Cricetulus griseus: one gene and its partners. The protein of the gene in region 3 interacts with the protein of the main gene of each other region in a pairwise test. Links are inferred from orthologs where the notes say so. Each region holds a gene or a part of one and is shown on either strand. Other genes may lie near its edges.

Evidence for each region.
Region 1: the proteins of Ergic3 (region 3) and Vamp5 interact in binary tests that used the Homo sapiens proteins (3 or more experiments, as listed by UniProt). The link is inferred for Cricetulus griseus from reciprocal best matches to the Homo sapiens genes ERGIC3 and VAMP5.
Region 2: the proteins of Ergic3 (region 3) and apolipoprotein L2-like interact in binary tests that used the Homo sapiens proteins (3 or more experiments, as listed by UniProt). The link is inferred for Cricetulus griseus from reciprocal best matches to the Homo sapiens genes ERGIC3 and APOL2.

The regions. Positions count from the first base shown.
Region 1 is NC_048601.1:64,109,263-64,115,485, reverse strand, and holds the start of Vamp5 (vesicle-associated membrane protein 5), read left to right. Parts: upstream 1-2,748; 5' UTR 2,749-2,891; coding exon 2,892-2,894; intron 2,895-6,223. UniProt on the Homo sapiens protein: May participate in trafficking events that are associated with myogenesis, such as myoblast fusion and/or GLUT4 trafficking.
Region 2 is NC_048595.1:374,853,561-374,859,644, forward strand, and holds the start of apolipoprotein L2-like, read right to left. Parts: upstream 3,948-6,084; coding exon 3,917-3,947; intron 3,088-3,916; coding exon 2,961-3,087; intron 861-2,960; coding exon 1-860.
Region 3 is NC_048599.1:23,569,705-23,575,139, forward strand, and holds part of Ergic3 (endoplasmic reticulum-Golgi intermediate compartment protein 3), read right to left. Parts: intron 2,393-5,435; coding exon 2,361-2,392; intron 1,240-2,360; coding exon 1,143-1,239; intron 1,064-1,142; coding exon 999-1,063; intron 381-998; coding exon 244-380; intron 169-243; coding exon 113-168; intron 1-112. UniProt on the Homo sapiens protein: Possible role in transport between endoplasmic reticulum and Golgi. Positively regulates trafficking of the secretory proteins SERPINA1/alpha1-antitrypsin and HP/haptoglobin.

The DNA of each region.
Region 1 (6,223 bases), on a different chromosome or scaffold from region 3:
GAAAAGCCAGAGAGCTAGCACTGCCCACAAGACGCTGCTTTCTTTTTATACTGGAGTTAAATTCATATGACAAACTTTTTTTTTTGAGACCAAGTCTCACTTTGTAGCCAAGAGTAGGTTGTTCTGGAATTTACTATGTAGCCCCAGGCTTGTCTCAAAGTCAGTCAATCCTACTGCCTCATCCTCTTAAGTATTAGGATCACAGCCATAAGCCACAGTGCCAGCTCAGTTTGTCTGTTTTGTTTTTAGACAGGGTCTTGTGTAGTAACACTGGCATTAAATTCACTATATAGTAGCTGGACAGTGATGGCACACACCCTTAATCCCAGCCCTCAGGAGGCAGAGGCAAGGCAGATCTCTGACTTTGAGACCAGCTTGGTCTACAGAGTGAGTTCCAGGACAGCCAGGGCTGTTACACAGAGAAGCCCTGTCTCAAAAAGCCAAAACAAACAAACAAACCAAAACAAAAAAAATCACTATATATCAGACCAGGACTTTGAACTTTTGATCCTTCTGTCCCTGGCTCCCCAGTGCTGGGATTTCAGGCATCTACCAGCAGATCTGGCTTATATAATGCTGGAGATCAAACCCAAAGCTTGCAGCATGAGAGGTAAGCATATGCCCAGCCACAATTAACAATTTAATTTTTTCCTTAATACTTCAGTCTTTTAAAAAAATTACTTTTTCGAGAGGCCAGACCAGCATCCTGAACTCCAGACTGGTGCCTAGCTCAATTGTCATCAGAGAGCCTTCACTCAGCAACTGATGGAAACAGATGCAGAGAACCACAGCCAAACATTAGGCCAAGTTCTGGGAATCCTGCTGAAGAGAGGGAGGAAGGAGCCAGAGGGGTCAAAGGACATCACAAAAAACCTCACAGAAACAACTAACCTGGGTTCATAACTCACAACAACTGAGCTAACAACTGGGGAGCCTGCATGGGACTGACCTAGGCCCTCTGCATGTATGTGACAGTTTAGTAGCTTGATCTTCTTGTGTGACTTGTAACAGTGGGAGCAAGTGCTGTCTCTGACTCCTTCACTGGATTTTGGGTTCCTATTCCCCTTACTGGGTTGCCTTGCCCAGCTTTAATGCAAGGCGAGATGCTTAGTCTTATTACAACTTGGTATGCCATGCGTTGTTGATATCTATGGGAAGCCTGCCCTTTTCTGAATAGAAACAGAAGAGGACTGGATTGACAGGGAGGGGCAAGGGAGCAGAGGGACCAGGAGGATGGAAGGAGGGGAAACTGAGGTCAGGATGTAAAATAAGTAATTATTTATTTATTTTTATTTATTTTGGTTTTCCGAGACAGGGTTTCTCTGTGTAGCTTTGGAGCCTATCCTGGCACTCGCTCTGGAGACCAGGCTGGCCTCGAACTCACAGAGATCCACCTGCCTCTGCCTCCCGAGTGCTGGGATTAACGGCCCAACACCCGGCAGTAATTTTTTTTAAATTACTTTTTCTTTAAATTATTTTTTTTCTTTTATGTGCAGAAATGCATCACTTGAATATGTGACTATGTACCACATTCATGATTGGTGCCCTTGGAGGCTAGAATAGGCATTAGATCCCCTGGAGCTGAATTATAGACAGCAGTGAGCAGAAATGAGGGTGATGAGAATTCAATCTGGGTCCTCTGGAGGAGCAGCCAGTGCTTTTAACTACTCAGCTAGCTCTCCGGTCCCACATTCTAGTCTTTGATTAAGCACTGGGCGATGGGCCAGTGAGATTAAGAAAGAGGACTGTTTGTTGGCTCCTCTTTAATTTTTCCCAGTTATGCAAGAAAAGCTGCAGTATCCTCATCATCACTCTGCTTCAAAATCTCCATCTTTCTGACCGGGGGAGAAGTCCCCATGGCCGGCATCAGGAATCTAAGGGGAAATTGTATGTTCTCAGGCTGGATAATCCCTGTTTGTTTTCCGACTGACTCCTAAACTCACACTATGAGGCTCTTCAGGGCCTGCCATGTAGTTTGTCTGTGTTTTATTCTCTGGGAAAGGGAGTCATTCTTTGCTTGAGTACTGCTCTGGAGGCTGGCTCAAATCTTCTCTTTTTCTTCCTCTGCCTCTTGCTGGTTCAAAACTTGGTCTGGCTGCTGTTGTCATCTTTTATTTCAGGCTGGGATCCATCCCAGCAACTTTAGAGGCTCATGCATCCACACACCACTGAGACTTTTAGCTCACAGGAATGTCGGCAGAATTTTAGCATTTAAAAAATCGCCCCCCCACCTCCTCCCACCCCGGTGTATGGAGGTCAGATAGACAACTTGCAGGAGTTGGTTCTCTCCACAATGTGAGTCCCAGGGATGGAACTCTGATAATGCAATAGATTTGGCTTCAAGTGCCTTTATCCACTGAACCATCTTGCCAGACCTCAATTTGTCTTTTTTAAGTGTACAACTTGGCGACATGTGATGTATTCAGAATACTGCCTGCTCCGTCTGAAAACAACCAGAACTTTGGAGTGGTTGATGTGTTTTCAGTTTTGGGTGGCATGCACTCACCAAGGTGGCAAGCACCCATCCTGGCATGTTCATGACATCCGGAGCACTTAGCACTCACAGATGCTTGTCGTATGACAGAATGACGCCTCCCTCGCTAACTCCTGTTGCAGTCCCAGATCCAAGAGACATCGGTCCCCAATTTACCAGGCTGGGGTGTCATCGGAAATCGGACGCTGGTGGCCCGGTAGGAGGCGCCCCACGGACCCTGTTGCTGCTTTCGGTTTGTCTGGGTCGGGCACCTCTCTGAGAAGGCGCCCCCCCTCCGCCCCCTTGGCCCGCGGGCCCGCCCCGCCCCGCGGCTTCCTCCAGGGCCGCGGGCACTGAGGCCACGCCGGGCAGAGGAGCCGGAGCCGGCAAGCAGGAGGTGGCGGTGGCTGCGGAGGCGATGGTGAGACGGGCAGGGGCAGAGGGCGATTATGCAGGGGTGTGATGTAGGAGCCCGAACCCCAGGGGTGCGGGTCACGCTGGTCGCATGAGCCAGACCCCAACTTTGCAGGCAGCCGGGAAAGGAGAATCAGAGTGCGCCCCGTCGGTGCGGAGTGAGCCGAGCTGCGCTTCCCACGCTCGTGCGGCAGTTAGCAGCTCCCGGCCATCCCGGGCAAGTCACTTAACCTCCATGAGCTTCCTTTTCCGTGCCATAAAGTAGGGGCAGCAATACCTACCTTAGTGGGTCCTTGAGAGGTTAGAGGAGATGTTTATGGTTGCTGCTGCCAGGCACTCAGAACCCTTTGCTAAGAAGTAGCAGGTAATGCGATGACCTCTGCGGGCTCTTCCCCGGGGGCTGAGAGAAGCCAGAGCTGGCCCAAGGGTTGGAAACCTGAGTAGATGCCTAGTGGAGGCCTCTCTAGGCTGGGTGCTGAAAGATAAACACTTTCCCCGGGGAAAGAGAAAATAAGTTGTTTACTATAAAAGTTTCATGAAATTATCAGTGTGACACAGGCTGACTCTTTCCTAACCTCTACCTAATGACATAATCCTGGCTTGAGTCACCTATACTCCTGCTGCAGACCTGCCATTTCTAAGGCAAAGGTGTCTGAGACCTCTGATGCCAGGATCCCCCTCCCCTGGGACTCCTGGGGAGATGGACCAGACTGAAAGCAAGTTTAGTACTCTAAGGCTGGATGGATGTGGCTTGGCTAGAGATGCCAATGTCTGGATGGCTTCATCTCTAGGGAACTAGAGGCAGGAAAGGGAAATGGGACAGGAAGGTAGCCCTAAGCTGTGAGGCCACACCAGGAAACTGAGGGAGGCTCTGAGAATGGGCTGGAGTTAAGAGCCCACTTCCGAGAGTGCAGGGTAAGAGCTGGGAGGAGATAGGGGGTGGACTTCCAGCTGGCCCTCAGCTCCTGGGGAGAAGTTCTGAAATGAAGGCGAGCTAGGCTAGTTATCTGACTGTACAGAACCTTGGGATGCTCACAGGTGCATTCCAGTCAAAGGGGGTTCCGAGCCTGGGGGATACATTGTTCCTCCAGCTCCATCAGCTAACTCTTCCTCCCTTCTTGTCCCCTTTTCTATCTCCAGCTCTTTCCCTTCCGTCATCCACCCCTCTGACTACCTAATTACTCCCACCCCTTTCCCCTTCCTTCTCTTCTCTGTGACTCATTGGGACAAAAAGGACACAGCATTTCTTTTGTGCCACTAGCACAGGACAAAGCAGTGATAGGGAAGATGGAAAGTGAGCAATCATTTTTGGCACGTGTACACGTGTTCTGTGCATGCTTATTCACATGTGTGGGCACACACATGTTTAGGTGCACATGGAAGTCCGAGGTTGATGTCCAGTGTCTTATTTAATAGCTCTCGGATTTATTTATGGAGACAGGGTCTCTGGCTGAACCTGGAGCTCACCAGCTTGTCTAGTCTAGCTGACCAGCTAGTCCTTGGGAGCCCCTGTTTTTGGCATCTTGAGCACTAGGATAACAAACAAACTGCTTGGATTTTGTGTGGGTGCTCAGGATTCAAATTCTGGTTCTCATGCTAGTGCAGTGGGAGCTTTATTTATGGAGCCATCTCCCTAGCACCATATATCGTTTTTTTAAAAAGATTTTATTGTGCTAGGTGGTGGTGGAGCATACCTTTAATCCCAGCACTCCAGAGGCAGAGGCAGGCAGATCTCTGTGAGTTCGAGGCCAGCCTGGGCTACAGAATGAGTGCCAGGACAGGCTCCAAAGCTACAAAGAAACAAGAAACCCTGTCTCGAAAAACAAAAAAAGCAACCAAAGATTTTATTGTATGTGTATGAATGTTTGCTCACATGTATGAATGTGCACCATGTACGTGAGTGCCTATGGAATCCAGAAGAGGGTGTTAGATCACCTCATACTGTAATTGTAGATGGCTGTGAGCTGGGAACTGAACCTAGGTCCTGTGGAAAAACAGCAAGTACTCTTAACCACTAAGCCATCTCTCCAGCCCCACTATAAATACTTTTAAAAATTACTATCTTGCTTGTTTGTTTTTTGGGAGACAACATCTTATAAAGCTGAGCCACCATGCCTGATTGGAATGAACTCTTTTGCTATAAAGCCCTTAAACTGCCTGTATAGACAAAGCTGTCCTTGAAGTTGCAGCAATGCTCTTGCTTCTACCTCCCAAGTGCTGGGATTACAATTATCTGACACCATGGACAGCTATAGAATAATTCTTTTTTGTTTTTGTTTTTTCTTGAGACAAGATCCCACTCTGTAGACTCAGCTGGCCTTGAACTCAGCCTACTGAGTTTTGGAATTAAATAGGTCCACAACTATGCTTAGCTGAAAATAATTCTTGAAGCCATTCATCTGGCAGAATTGGTGTGTGTAGTCGCAAGCTGAGTTGGCAGCATCAAGTGGCTGGCAGTCTTCAGCCAATCAGCTGGAGCTTCATACTCCCCTCTCTCTCCATATCTGGTTTAGCACAGGGTTTAGACTTGTGGCCCCTGGGTCTCTGACCATTCTACCCTCAGATTGGTTACCTACTGGCTCTGGACAACTTAACACCTCTGGGCTGTAAAACAGGGACAATAATATTGTCTTGAGTGGGTTCTTATGAAGATTTAGCCAGATGCCCACATGCACAGCTAGCTCAGTGCTGGGCAAGTTATGTGCTCACTGAAAGGTGGCTGTAACTATTGCTCAGGACTTAAGGCCTGTAATTCCAAAACTTGGGGGCAGAGACAGGAGGACCCCCAAGTCTCAGGCCAGGCTGGACAGTTTATTGAAAGTCTCTTGCATGTCTTTTTTTTATTATTTAAATTTCTGAAAGGGCTGCAATGTGTGACATCCTTGGTTCAATTTCCAGTACCACACAAATAAACAAAGATCTCAATAGCCTGTAGCACCTGATGAAAAGAAAAGAATGCAGATACTGGGTCTAGAGCAGGGGTTCTCAAAGATCCACAGAAGTTTCCTCACTTAGATAAGAAGCAAATCAATGCATAAGTGTGCAACAGGGAAGACCTTGGCTGGTTGTGCATCTTGTAAGCAAAGAAAGACAACAAAAAGGCAGCTGTCTTGAGGAATCTACACCCACTCCTAAGATGTCCTTACTAAGGCCCCCAACATTTTTTCATAAGAGGGGGTGGTGTTGGCTGGAATGGGGACTCAGCAGTTAAGAGTATTTGTTTTTCTTCCAGGGACCTGGTTTAAATTCCCAGCACCCAGATTAAATTCACAACCACCCCTCTGTAGATCCAAGTTCCAAGGAACCTAATTCCCTCAGGCATGCACAAGAGCACAT
Region 2 (6,084 bases), on a different chromosome or scaffold from region 3:
ACTGCAAACTGTCATGGATCTGGATAAGCACCTTCAATTTCTCCTCCAGCTCCTGTGCCTGCTTCCTCAACTCCTCAGCTGACTTCACCTTTGCCCCTTTGTGCAAACGCTTGGATTCTTTCACAAGTCCAATCACATCCCCAGTGAGGGACACACCTGTGGTGGCTACATTCATGACCCAGTCTCTTCTGCTCATTGCCAGGGCAGTGCCCCTATAGGCTTTCTTCACCTGATTGTCTCTTTGGGCAGAGATGCCCCCTATGGTCAAGAGGTGCTTGGCACTGGATGCTAATGCAGGGTTGGCTTTGGTGAGCTTGATGACATAGATGTTCTGTTGAAGGCATCGCAGGACTCGGCAACAATTCTCAGATAACTCATAGACTTGGGGCTCTGAATGAACCACAGCTTCTGCAACTTTCTTCACTTTGACCATGCTGGTTGCCACCAGGTGGCTGGCTCTCATTTTGGCTGATGACTCACTTGTGTAGTCCACAATACCAGTGGAGACACTAGTCACAGCCGCCGCTGCTCCCAATCCCATCCCTGTTGCCAAGAGCACCAGACTGGCCCCAGCTGTCACAGGTACCAGAGTAAGGCCAAGGAGGGTGAGGACTCCAGAAACAGTGCTGGTGGAGCTGGCCACCACCTTGGAGATGGTGCAATCCCTGTGAACCTTGTCAACTTTATCTGCAAGGATCTGGAGCTTCTTAATGTGCCCCTCGAGTTCCAGTTGCACCTGAGGAAACATATCCACAAAACTCTCCATGTCCTGCAAGTCACGTTGAAACTTGTCTTTGTCTTCCTCAGCCATGTTTTCTGTGAGGGCATTGAGAGCATCACGCAATGTGTCTGCATCAGCTCTGTAACAGGCATCAAGGGATTAAGAGAGAGAGTTTACTTATGGATTTAGGTCAAGGGTAGAGTGCTTGTCTAACATGCATGGGGCCTGGGTTCCATGCCCAGTGCTATAAAATAATAAAACAGATGGTTTGCTACAGGCTCCATAACACATGACCTGTGCAAATGACAGCATGCTTTCTGTGGCTCAGGAAGGATTTTATAGACACACAGATTCTTTCTTTTGATGGTGAAGGCTTGGTAATCATAAATTGTCCTTTGTAAATGAGGATAATTAGTAAAAGACATGTTAAGATTCTCTTGGAGAATGGAGAATGGGTTCTGCAATTAAGACTGCTTGTTGAACTTGTACAGGCCTGGAATTTGGATCTCAGCACTCAGAATTTGGTTAAAAGGCTGGCAATCATCTATTAACTCCAATCCAAAGGATCTGACATCCTTTGTGGCCTCCACAGGTATGTGCATGTACACATTCACACAAACACACACACACACACGCACACGCACACGCACACGCACACGCACACACGCACGCACATACGTAAATAAATTGCCAGCCATTGTGGCACTAGCCTTTAATTCCAGCACTCAGGAGGTGGAGATAGGCAGATCTCTGTGAGTTTGAGGTCAGCCTGATCTACATAGTGAATTCTAGGACAACCAGAGCTATATAGAAAGACCTTGTCTCAAAAATTAATGAATAAATTAATAAATAAATAAATTTGTTTGTTTGTTTAAGATGCTCTTGAGATTAGAGGGATGACTGAGCAGCTAAGAGCACTGTTTGCTCTTCCAGAGTTCCCAGGTTTGATTCTAGTACCCACATGGGAGCATACAAATGCCTGTTCTAGGGGTTCCAATGCCCTCTTCTGGCTTCTGTGGGCACCAGGCACACACATATACATGCAGGCAAAGACTCATACATATAAAGTAGAAATAAGGTTTTAAAAACCTTTTAAAAGATGTTCTTTAGGGGCTGGGGACTAGCATAGTAGGTAAAGAGCTTGCCTAGCATGTGTGAGGCCTTGGTGTCTACCGCTGTATAAAATCAGGCATGGTGTTACAAGCCAGTAATTCCAGTACTTGGGAGTCAGAGGCGGGAAGTTCAGAAGTTCAAGGTCATCTTTGCTTATGTCTGAGTTCAAGGCTAATATGGGATATATCAAACCTTGTCAAAAAAAATAAAAGATGTTCTTAGTGTCAGGCATTTGATAAAGATGTTTTCTTACTCAAGGGTAACACTGTGGCCATCAGCACATGCCAGGGGTGAGGATGAAGTGACGAGGAGGGGAATGGGGACTGTGCTGATGAACACAAGGAGGCAAGGTTGGAGCATAAGTCATCCTTAATTCATAGAATGTTTGCTAGTGTTGTGAAATGCCTTCCTTTTGCCCTCAGCTGCTGAAACACAAGCAGTAGGCCAGGTCATGTCCTCCCAGCCAAGACTATCTGCATCTGGCTAGGACTTTGGCAGGAAACTCATCCAAACTGAGCAATTCTGTCTGAACATTCCAAGTGTGAAAGGCTTCAAATGATGCCGCATGGAAAACTCCACAGTTGTCTTTAGGGGACCGGTCACACTCAAACACAAGGGTGCTAACAAGAGCATAGAACATTAAGATGTTCACTAGGTATAAAAAGTATAGAAGTGTGTTTCGCTTTGAGACTTGGATCTCATTCCCACAATGTAGCATATTGAAAATATTTTAAAATCAGGAAAATTCAGGATCCAAACCACTTCTGTTCCCAGGCATGTCCTCTTTAGGGTGCTCAGGTTTAACCAAGCAGTGTGTGGTGGGGGCTTTGGTCTCATTTCTGACCTCCAGGGAACTGGAGACTAAAGGCATTGACCTCTGAAATGAAAGATCTGGGGTCAGCCTCGAAGATAGTGTATGGTACAACCTTTTGGTGGCTCTCAAGTTCACTGAGAGACAATGGGACATTCCCAAAGCACAGTTATGGGTGTATCAAAGATGCTTTGGAGAGAATTAGCACATGAACAAGGGCACTAGGTCAGGGAGGCACATAGTGAATGAGGCTGCACCGTCCATAGGCAGGGAAGAGAAACCAAAAAAGGGAAGAAGTGCCTAACAGCAGGAGACCTGGACAACTCAGCCTCGGCCACAAAGGCCTTCCAGGCTCCATCTTCAGTCAACAGCAAGCGCAGATCTTCCCTACTGGCTCTGTGCTGGAGGTACTCAGTGACTTCCTCAATGAAGTTTCTGCCCCCTAGTTGGAAAGGAAAGTGAAGTTAGAGGACAGAATGGAAGAGCTTGAGTGACAGTAACCACAGAGTCAGCTTTCCACCCTGAGCTGGTCCACCTGAGGAGGCAGGACAGGGAGGAGGTGAGTCCTGGCTTTATTCCCCAGGAAGGGCACTGGCATTGGAAGAGTTTCTGAAGTCCCCCTTGGGTCTCCCCTTCTCTGTTCTCAACTTCTCTTGAAGGAACCAGATCCTCACCCAGCCCCCTGTTTTAGCAGCCATGACAGGCTGCAGAAAAGACCCAGCAAGACAAAGGCCCCTGACTCAGCACATGTTGCTTAGTTTCCAGCCTCCTGACCTTGCAGGGGCTGCCCTAGTCACTAGGAGGTCAGACACCCTCCACGCGGCAAGGAACCAATCAGAAGTTAGTTGGTGGGCTCTGGATGTGCTTTAAGGAAAAAGTGGCCTAACAGTGACATGTAGAGCTTAACAACTGCTCTGGGAGGGCCTATAGACCATAGCAACCAGTTAACCAATCAACACAGGACAGGTTGCCCAAGCTTGGAAGCACACCAATCCTGAGACTGTTGCATACCCCTAGACACTTCCCATACGCTGCCCAATAAACTCCCCCCACCCACAGTTTATCCGGGTCCTTCTCACTCCACCTGCCATGTAGAACGGATGGAGGGTCTGAATTAATGGAGTTAACTCATTAAATAATAAAAGACTCTTCGCTTTTGCATCAGAATGGGTCTCTTGGTGGTTTGGGGGTTCAGAATTTGGGCACAATACTCTACACTCAGTAATGGGGGTCTAGGCCACAAATGAGAAGAAGCCAGACAAATGTAATACCTGAGGAGCCCTCGCAGGTTGATGGGTCCATGGTGTCAACTGCACGGTCTCTGGTCCAAGCTGCAAGGAGGAAAAACCTAGCCATGCAATGAAAGGGGAACAACTGTTAGAAGACAAGCAACTAAGGACTGTGCCCCTCAGGTCCCTTCCAGTGTCTGGCAATTATCAGTATAAGGATTCAGGCATTATGCTGCCTGCTCCTGTAACCTGGCAGAATGCACTCAGGCAGTACCCTGGTCAGCCCAGGTACAAAGGACCCCTTTAAAAGAAATACCCCTGCCCACTTGTGCTCTCTGTCTTGCTGTTCTCCTGGGACAGACAGGACTTCTTCTGTCTCCTTCTTCTCTTCTGTCTTCTCTCTGTCTCTGTGTCTCTTTACACCTTTTTTCTTTCCTTTCCCCTCAATTCCTCTTTCTAATAAAACTTTCCACTTAAGCTCTGTCTGCCTGGCATGTTTGTCCTTCTGCCTCGGTCAACCTCCCCACCATGGAATCCACCAAGGTTCCCCTTGCGCTTTATCGTAACACTCAGACTTTATCAAAAGTGTTTCTCTTCCATGGGTTCCACAGAAAGCAACGAGTCATCTGGCTCTAACTGCTCATCCCAAGGCCCCTGCTCCATCCTCCCACTCTAGTAAGATCAGGTGATGACGAACCTATGGGAGATAACTGAATTTGTACACAGAAGATAAGATGAGAAGGGTTGCTCTGGCAGCAATCCGAGAGCGGTAACACATATGTGAGTTAATGATAGGGACTGATGTTTATTGTCTGGGACACACAAGGCTCCCTAGACATACACTTCATTAGACGACCACACACGTGCCATGAGATGAGAAGCATTGTGACCCCATCGTAATGGAGAAGGAAGACCATGAGGTTAGCTCCCATCCCCAGTCTTCATAATAATGTTAGAGCTAGCCCATGAACCCAAACCATTCTGAGCCATATCTCACCCTCTGGGGCCCTGCCCTCGGGTTCCTTAAACATCCAGCAGGATGCCTTCCTGCCCATGTACAGTCTATTGTGAGCACTTCCCATCCACGGCAATGCCTGTGCCCTGCAGGGTACAAATTCACCAGTGCCCCTGGGCTCCCCCAAGGCCCACCCACACATTCCTTGCTTCTGCAGGATCCTGCATCCAATCAAGCCTCAGAATCCTGCCACATCCCGTCTCTGTTTCTGTACTTGCTCTGGGCTGTCCAAACCCATCTGCCATCTTCCCTAACGATTGGACCTCATATCATAGCCAACCCTTTGTGTAAACAGTAGTGAAAAGAATGAGCTCCTTGCATAGCACTTGGCCTGCATTTCAGAATATTTCCCTCAGAGCTATGTGGAGGGCTGGCAAGATGGTACAGCAGACAAGAGTGCTTGCAGCTAAGCCTGAGGAACAGAGTTCAATGCCGGGTCCCACAGAGTAAAAAGAGGGAGCTGACTCCTATAAGTTGTCCTCTGGCTTCCACATATATGTGTGTGTGGATGTATATATGCATATATGAATATAGATACTTGAAAAATCTAGGCTGGTGTGGTGACCCAGCACTCTAGAAGCAGAGGCAAGTGGATCACTGTAAATTTAAAGCCAACCTGGTCTACACCAAATGCCAGGCCAGCCAGGGCTACACAATGAGACCCTATTTCTAAAAACAAACAAGACAAAATCTAAAAAACAAACAAACAAACAAAAAATACTTTTAAAAGGTAAAAAGAAACGGACTTCCTTCCTAGGCAGAAAAGAAAGCTAAAAGTTAAAAGCAGTTGTATTCCACTGGGATGGCCTAAGCCAGTGCTCAGTAAGAACTGTTTCTTATGGTATTTCCCAGGCTCAGAGAGGCCTGGCAGAAGCAGTGACAGGCCTGGAGATGTCCCACAAGTAACGCCATGAGATGAAATGGCACCTCCCTTCACAGTCCGAGTGTTCCTTTGCGACCTTTATCTTCAGATTTGATCCTTCTCGGCTCTGCAGGTTCACTGAGGCACATTTGGTTCAGCACGCCATTATAAAGTTCCACCAGGTACATTTAACCAAGACTTGCCTAGCTCCTCACACCTCTTCGGGGCTCAGTCAAGGCACTGACCAGCTGCCACAACAGAGCACCCCAGTTCCTCAACAAGCAACAAAAGGAGGATGCCCCAGAGCTCCTAGAACCTCTCAATCTGTTCTCA
Region 3 (5,435 bases):
AACCAAAGCCTGGGGCATTGCTGAGGGTGCCACTCAGTGGGGGAACACCTGCCCAAACACAGCACGGGAAGCCTGGGCACCCTGCTCCCCAAACAGGGACTCTGGGACTTACCAGTAAACATGCCTCCAATGATGGCGCACACACCTGTCAGGAAGTGGGTGAAGGACCTGCAGGGCACAAGGGGGGCTCAGTAGGCACCCTGCTCTCGCAGGCTCAGAGCCTTCGCCACTCCCACTCCTTACCTGTGTTTTTCTGTTAGCTTCACCATCATGGGTGAGAGTTCATAGAGTACAAAGACTCCTGGCAGGCCCTGGTCACCCAGCAGCCCATTGGCAACCTTCTCGTGTCTGGTCACAGAGAACTGGTTTGTCCTCAGCACCTGCAGGAAGAAGGGAACCAGAAGCAGAGAGAGGTTTATAACCTGGCTCAGGGTTGTTCTGAGCCCCGCTTCTTGTCAGGCTGTGACTATATGAAGAGATAGAATGAAGCTCCCAGTTGGTAACTAGCAACACAAGGCCTGGGGACCATCCTTGTTTCCCTTCCAGTCCACCATCTTATCAGTTTTTGCCTGTCCTAGCTACATCTGATGGATACTTTCACTGGTAGTACAGGGAAGAGAAGAAACTCTTGCAGGCAGCACCCTAAGGCTAGGACTCACATCCTTGCCCTTCAGCCCTGTCACACCACCCCAAAGACAGCTGTTCCAGACCACAGAACAGAGCAGGCCCAAGGAGGCTTGGCCTAGCCAACCCCCAGGTCAGCACAGACAATGGGGTCAGTAAGCACCCAAGGACTGTCTGGAGGCAGTGTGGGAGGCAGGAAGACCAAATAGTGTCTAGTGTGTGTCTCCCACGAGGGCATCAGTACCCTGGAGCCTCAGCTCTGCATCCATCACACAGGAGTGAGAGCAGTACCTCATTCCCCGGGCCAAAGTAATGACACACAGGACTTTGAGAGCTTGACAACAAGCTGAACTGGACGCCTATACTCGACTCACCTCCCCATCCACTTTCATGTACACAGTGGGGACCACCTTCACAAAGTACTGAAACATCATGGAGGCTGTGAGGAGAAGCAAGCACAGGGCATGGGCACCAGGAAGGGCGTTAGCGGTAGAGGGGGCTACCTCCCAGGATGGTACCTTGGGGTGCAGTGACATTGGTGTGGTCCAGGGGGTTCACAATGCCTGGATAGTCCTCCCCAAATGACAGGTGCTTGATGTAGTGAGTCATGTTGATCTGTAAGCAACATCAGCATCTGAGGCCCGATAGCACACCCCCACACAACACCAGCGTCTGTCTGAGGCCCGATAGCACACCCCCACACAACACCAGTGTCTGTCTGAGGCCCGATAGCACATACCCACATAACACCAGTGTTTGTCTGAGGCCCGATAGCACACACCCACACAACATCAGCATCTGTCTGAGGCCCAATAGCACACAACCCACACAACACCAGTGTCTGTCTGAGGCCCGATAGCACACACCCACACAACACCAGCGTCTGTCTGAGGCCCGATAGCACACACCCACACAACACCAGCGTCTGTCTGAGGCCCGATAGCACACACCCACACAACACCAGCGTCTGTCTGAGGCCCGATAGCACACACCCACACAACACCAGTGTCTGTCTGAGGCCCGAAAGCACACACCCACACAACACCAGCGTCTGTCTGAGGCCCGATAGCACATACCCACACAACATCAGCATCTGTCTGAGGCCCAATAGCACACAACCCACACAAAACCAGCTAGAGTAGCAGAGTGTTCCCCAAGGCTGTGAGCGCAGGTGGGAAGAGGGAGGAAGGAAGCGGCCCTGTACAGGAGAAGCTATGGCTTTAATAGGAGAAGTGTCTGTACCAGGCACTTGTTTTCACTTAGGGATCTCTCCTCAGTCCACAGATTTCTGGGCTCTAGGGTTTAAGGTACAGCTTCAAGCAGCCACATTGTACATGGTGACACTAGTCCTGTCTGCACACCTCAAGGGATGAAGGTCTAAGCCAGAAGCCCCAACTGGCAGCTTCCTTGAGGGACAGTTAGAAATGTAAATCTAACTATGTCACACCCCTGGTTAAGGTGAGGCAAAAGTGGCCCCTCTTCTCAAAAGGCAGACTCCTCAGTGTGGCTCCAGTCCCAAGGCCTCGACCCTGCCAACTCTGCCAGCTTCCTAGAAATGCCACACTCTGTCCTGGCTTTGCTCTGAGCTTCCTTCTGTTGAGGGTGCACCCGTCCAACGATCTCTGCCCTGGGTCTGAACACCAGCAGAACATGGAGAGTGATTTCTCCCCATTTCAGACATGAGCAGAGTCCAGTCTCTTGCCACCCATCCTCCATGGTTTCCGCCTGGTACGTACATTGTCAAGGCCGAAGCTCTGCAAGTCATGAACTAGGAGAAGAAGAAAACAGTCACCAGGCAGGCAGGACCAGGTTCCTGAGTCTTTTTTCAGGCCGTACTCCTCCCTGTGGGATATGACGCTCTGACCCCTCAGTCACCCACAGCCTGATACGCTGGCCCTGCTTAAGCACAGCTGGCCAGAGCCTGCCCTGCACCTGGGTAAAGGGTTCCCAGCCTCCCACTGGGGTGGACAAGAACACAGATTTCCCGGCCAGGCTTTTATCTCAGGAAACAAAACCCACGGACAGGTCTCTCACTAACCAGAGTTACTGACAAATTACTGTACCCCAACATCAATAGGGACTCCCTTGATTCTACCCTCAAAATTCCCCAAAGGGATTTTTGAACCAGCAGTTTCTTCCCATCTTAACCCCAATTGCCCACTGTTAGGAACCCCATGTCAAAGCCCATCCCAGGAGTAAGTCACCCAGCGGCAGGGTCAGAAGGCTCTATCCCAGACCCATCCAAACCTCCCCCCATTCCAGGAGGGCAGGCTGCTTTGGAAGTGGGGAGAGGGCATCCTTGGGGGCAGGGCCACTTACTCTCCACAGCATGAACTGCAGCATGGGGAAGGGAGAAGAGAACAGAGATTCAGAGCTCCAGTGGGATCTATGGAGCAAGACCCACAGTAGCGGGGAGGATGGAGACTCCTGCTTTGGCACGAGGGTCTAGCCCTAGCTAAAAGGCCTCTTCCAGGACCAAAGAGGCATAAAAGAGGGCTGAAGCATAAAAACAGCCAGCCTAAGAACAAAATGAGACCTAGAGCCTCGAAGTCCTCCCCCAGCTGTGTGACCTGGGCAGAGCACTTGGCCGGTGTTGTCTGCCAAGGGCTGACCTGAGGGTCTAGGAGGGGCAGATGCTTGGTCAACTTCACAAGACCTTATACCCCCTGGTGTTGTTCACCCTGCAACCAACAGGATGTTAAAAGCACTCTGAGGACTCAATGGCAGATCTTGGGCCACGGGCCACTGTAGCCATATGTGTATGAGCATCCTTGCACTCAGAGTCAGCTGCCCCGGGGTCCATGACCCAGAAGGTAGACCTAAGCAGAGGTGCAGGCGGAAATGCTGTTGTGATAGCAGCCCCCTCCCGAGTGTCTGAAGGCCTGTAGTCCACAGCTTCACACAGTGACACACCGATGTCGTCCTATGGTCTCAGGAAATCTATTTTACTCGGCCTCCTCCAGAGTAAAGGGGTGGGTGGGGGTTCCAGAGCTCTTCAGGGTCCTCCAGGCCACCTACCTCTCCTTGTGCCTTCCCCCTCTGCAGGTACAGACTACATGAGAGACTACAGGACCCCACGCCCGCCCACCTTAGTCACTGGGAGCAGCTCAGAACCACCAGGTCCTGCTTGTCCTCTGGAATCCTCTTGGCTGGTAGCGATCTCCCAAATGATCCTAATTCTCACCCCACCCACACCCCACCAGGTAGCAGCAGCATCTTCAGCCTCCACTTTGGCCCTTCACTCTTCTGCTTCCCCCGCAGCCTGACTTTCTCTTCCAGGCACCAGCTCCATTCCATCGTCTCAACTACTGTTTGGTCTCCCATACCTATCCACTCTGTAGTCAAGAGAGAGGTCCTTCTAGCTCCTTCCTGCCATTTTCAGACCACTGTCCCCTGATCTACAGTCAAAGTCCTTAGCTCCCAGGCAGTTCAAGGCACCCTACTTGTTAATCATGAAATTCCACCAGGCACCCCCAGGACAGTTTTAGTAACTACCTGCCCATCCTTTATGGCACCCGAATCTCAGCTTTTGGTGAGTCCCATAGTCATGTACACGAGCCTTCCAACACCCTGTCATCCCAGTTCCTGGACAGCCCCGCCTCCCTGCTCTTCTCTCCCACTCCAGACCACCATGGTGACCATTCCCTAACCCTGACATTAGCAGTAGCTATACCTTCTCTAGTGTCAACCACAAGCACCTCATGCTCCAACTGCCAGCTTGCTAACTTCCTCCTGTTCCTTCCCTGGCCCCGCAGTGCCCCAAATCCAACCATCCTTTGCCACCACACCAAAGGCCTGCGGCAGTCTGGTGCTTCTCCGCTTCCTCATTGGCGTCTACTCCTCCCCCAAACCCTGAGTCCTCACTTTCCTCCCATGGTCCAGCTCTGTGATTGCCTCTTTGTATACTCTTTGACTCCCTTGTCTGTGCAGCACAGAGCAACACTAAACCCCAGAAAATCCCACAGGTGCTCTCACTTCCACCCACTGTCCCCGAAACCAAAGACGTCCCCCTGTTGCCTCCAGCATGCCATCCCTTTCTCCACAGCCTTCGCTAATGACCTTGCTTCCTCTGCCCGAGAAGAAGCCAGGAGAGACACTGCATGAGCGCTTCTGCTCCCCTGCCATGGCTGGAGTTTGCTCTTTCCACACGCTCAAGGCCTAGACTGTCTTCTCCAGACCCGCTGTGTCACTTCAGCCCTTGTCACAGCCCTGTACATGAGCCATCTGACAGCCTGCGCACCAGTTCCTGGACACGCCTCCTCAGTCTTGTCCTCCGCCCCCCAGTCTCCAGTTCTGTTGCCATCCTCTAAACCAGCGTTCTCAACCTGCAGTTTGTGACCCCTCACGGGCTGAGCAACCCTTTCACAGGGGTCGCCTAAGACCACTGGAAAACACAGATATTTATATTATAATTCATAACAGTGGCAAAACTACAGTTATGAAGTAGCAACAAAAATCACTTTATGGTTGGGGTCATGACAACACGAGGAACTGTATTAAATGGTACTAGCATTAGGAAGGTTGGGAACCCCTGCTCTAGTCCGTGACGTGGTAGTAATGGCGCCCATCTGCAGTTTCAGTTTCGAGCACCTGGTGCTCTAATGCAAATCTTAAACACTTTTCTGCATTTCTAGTCATAGTCATGTTCTGTCAGGGCCACCAACGACCACTACACTAACAACCAACCTTCATCTTTTGCTTGGTATCCAGGAGTACCCATCCCTTGGCTCTTAGGATGGCACACTCCTGGCTGAAGCTCCCACCTCACCAGCCATCCTTACAGTCTCCTTTACAGCCCCATGCCGCTGGCC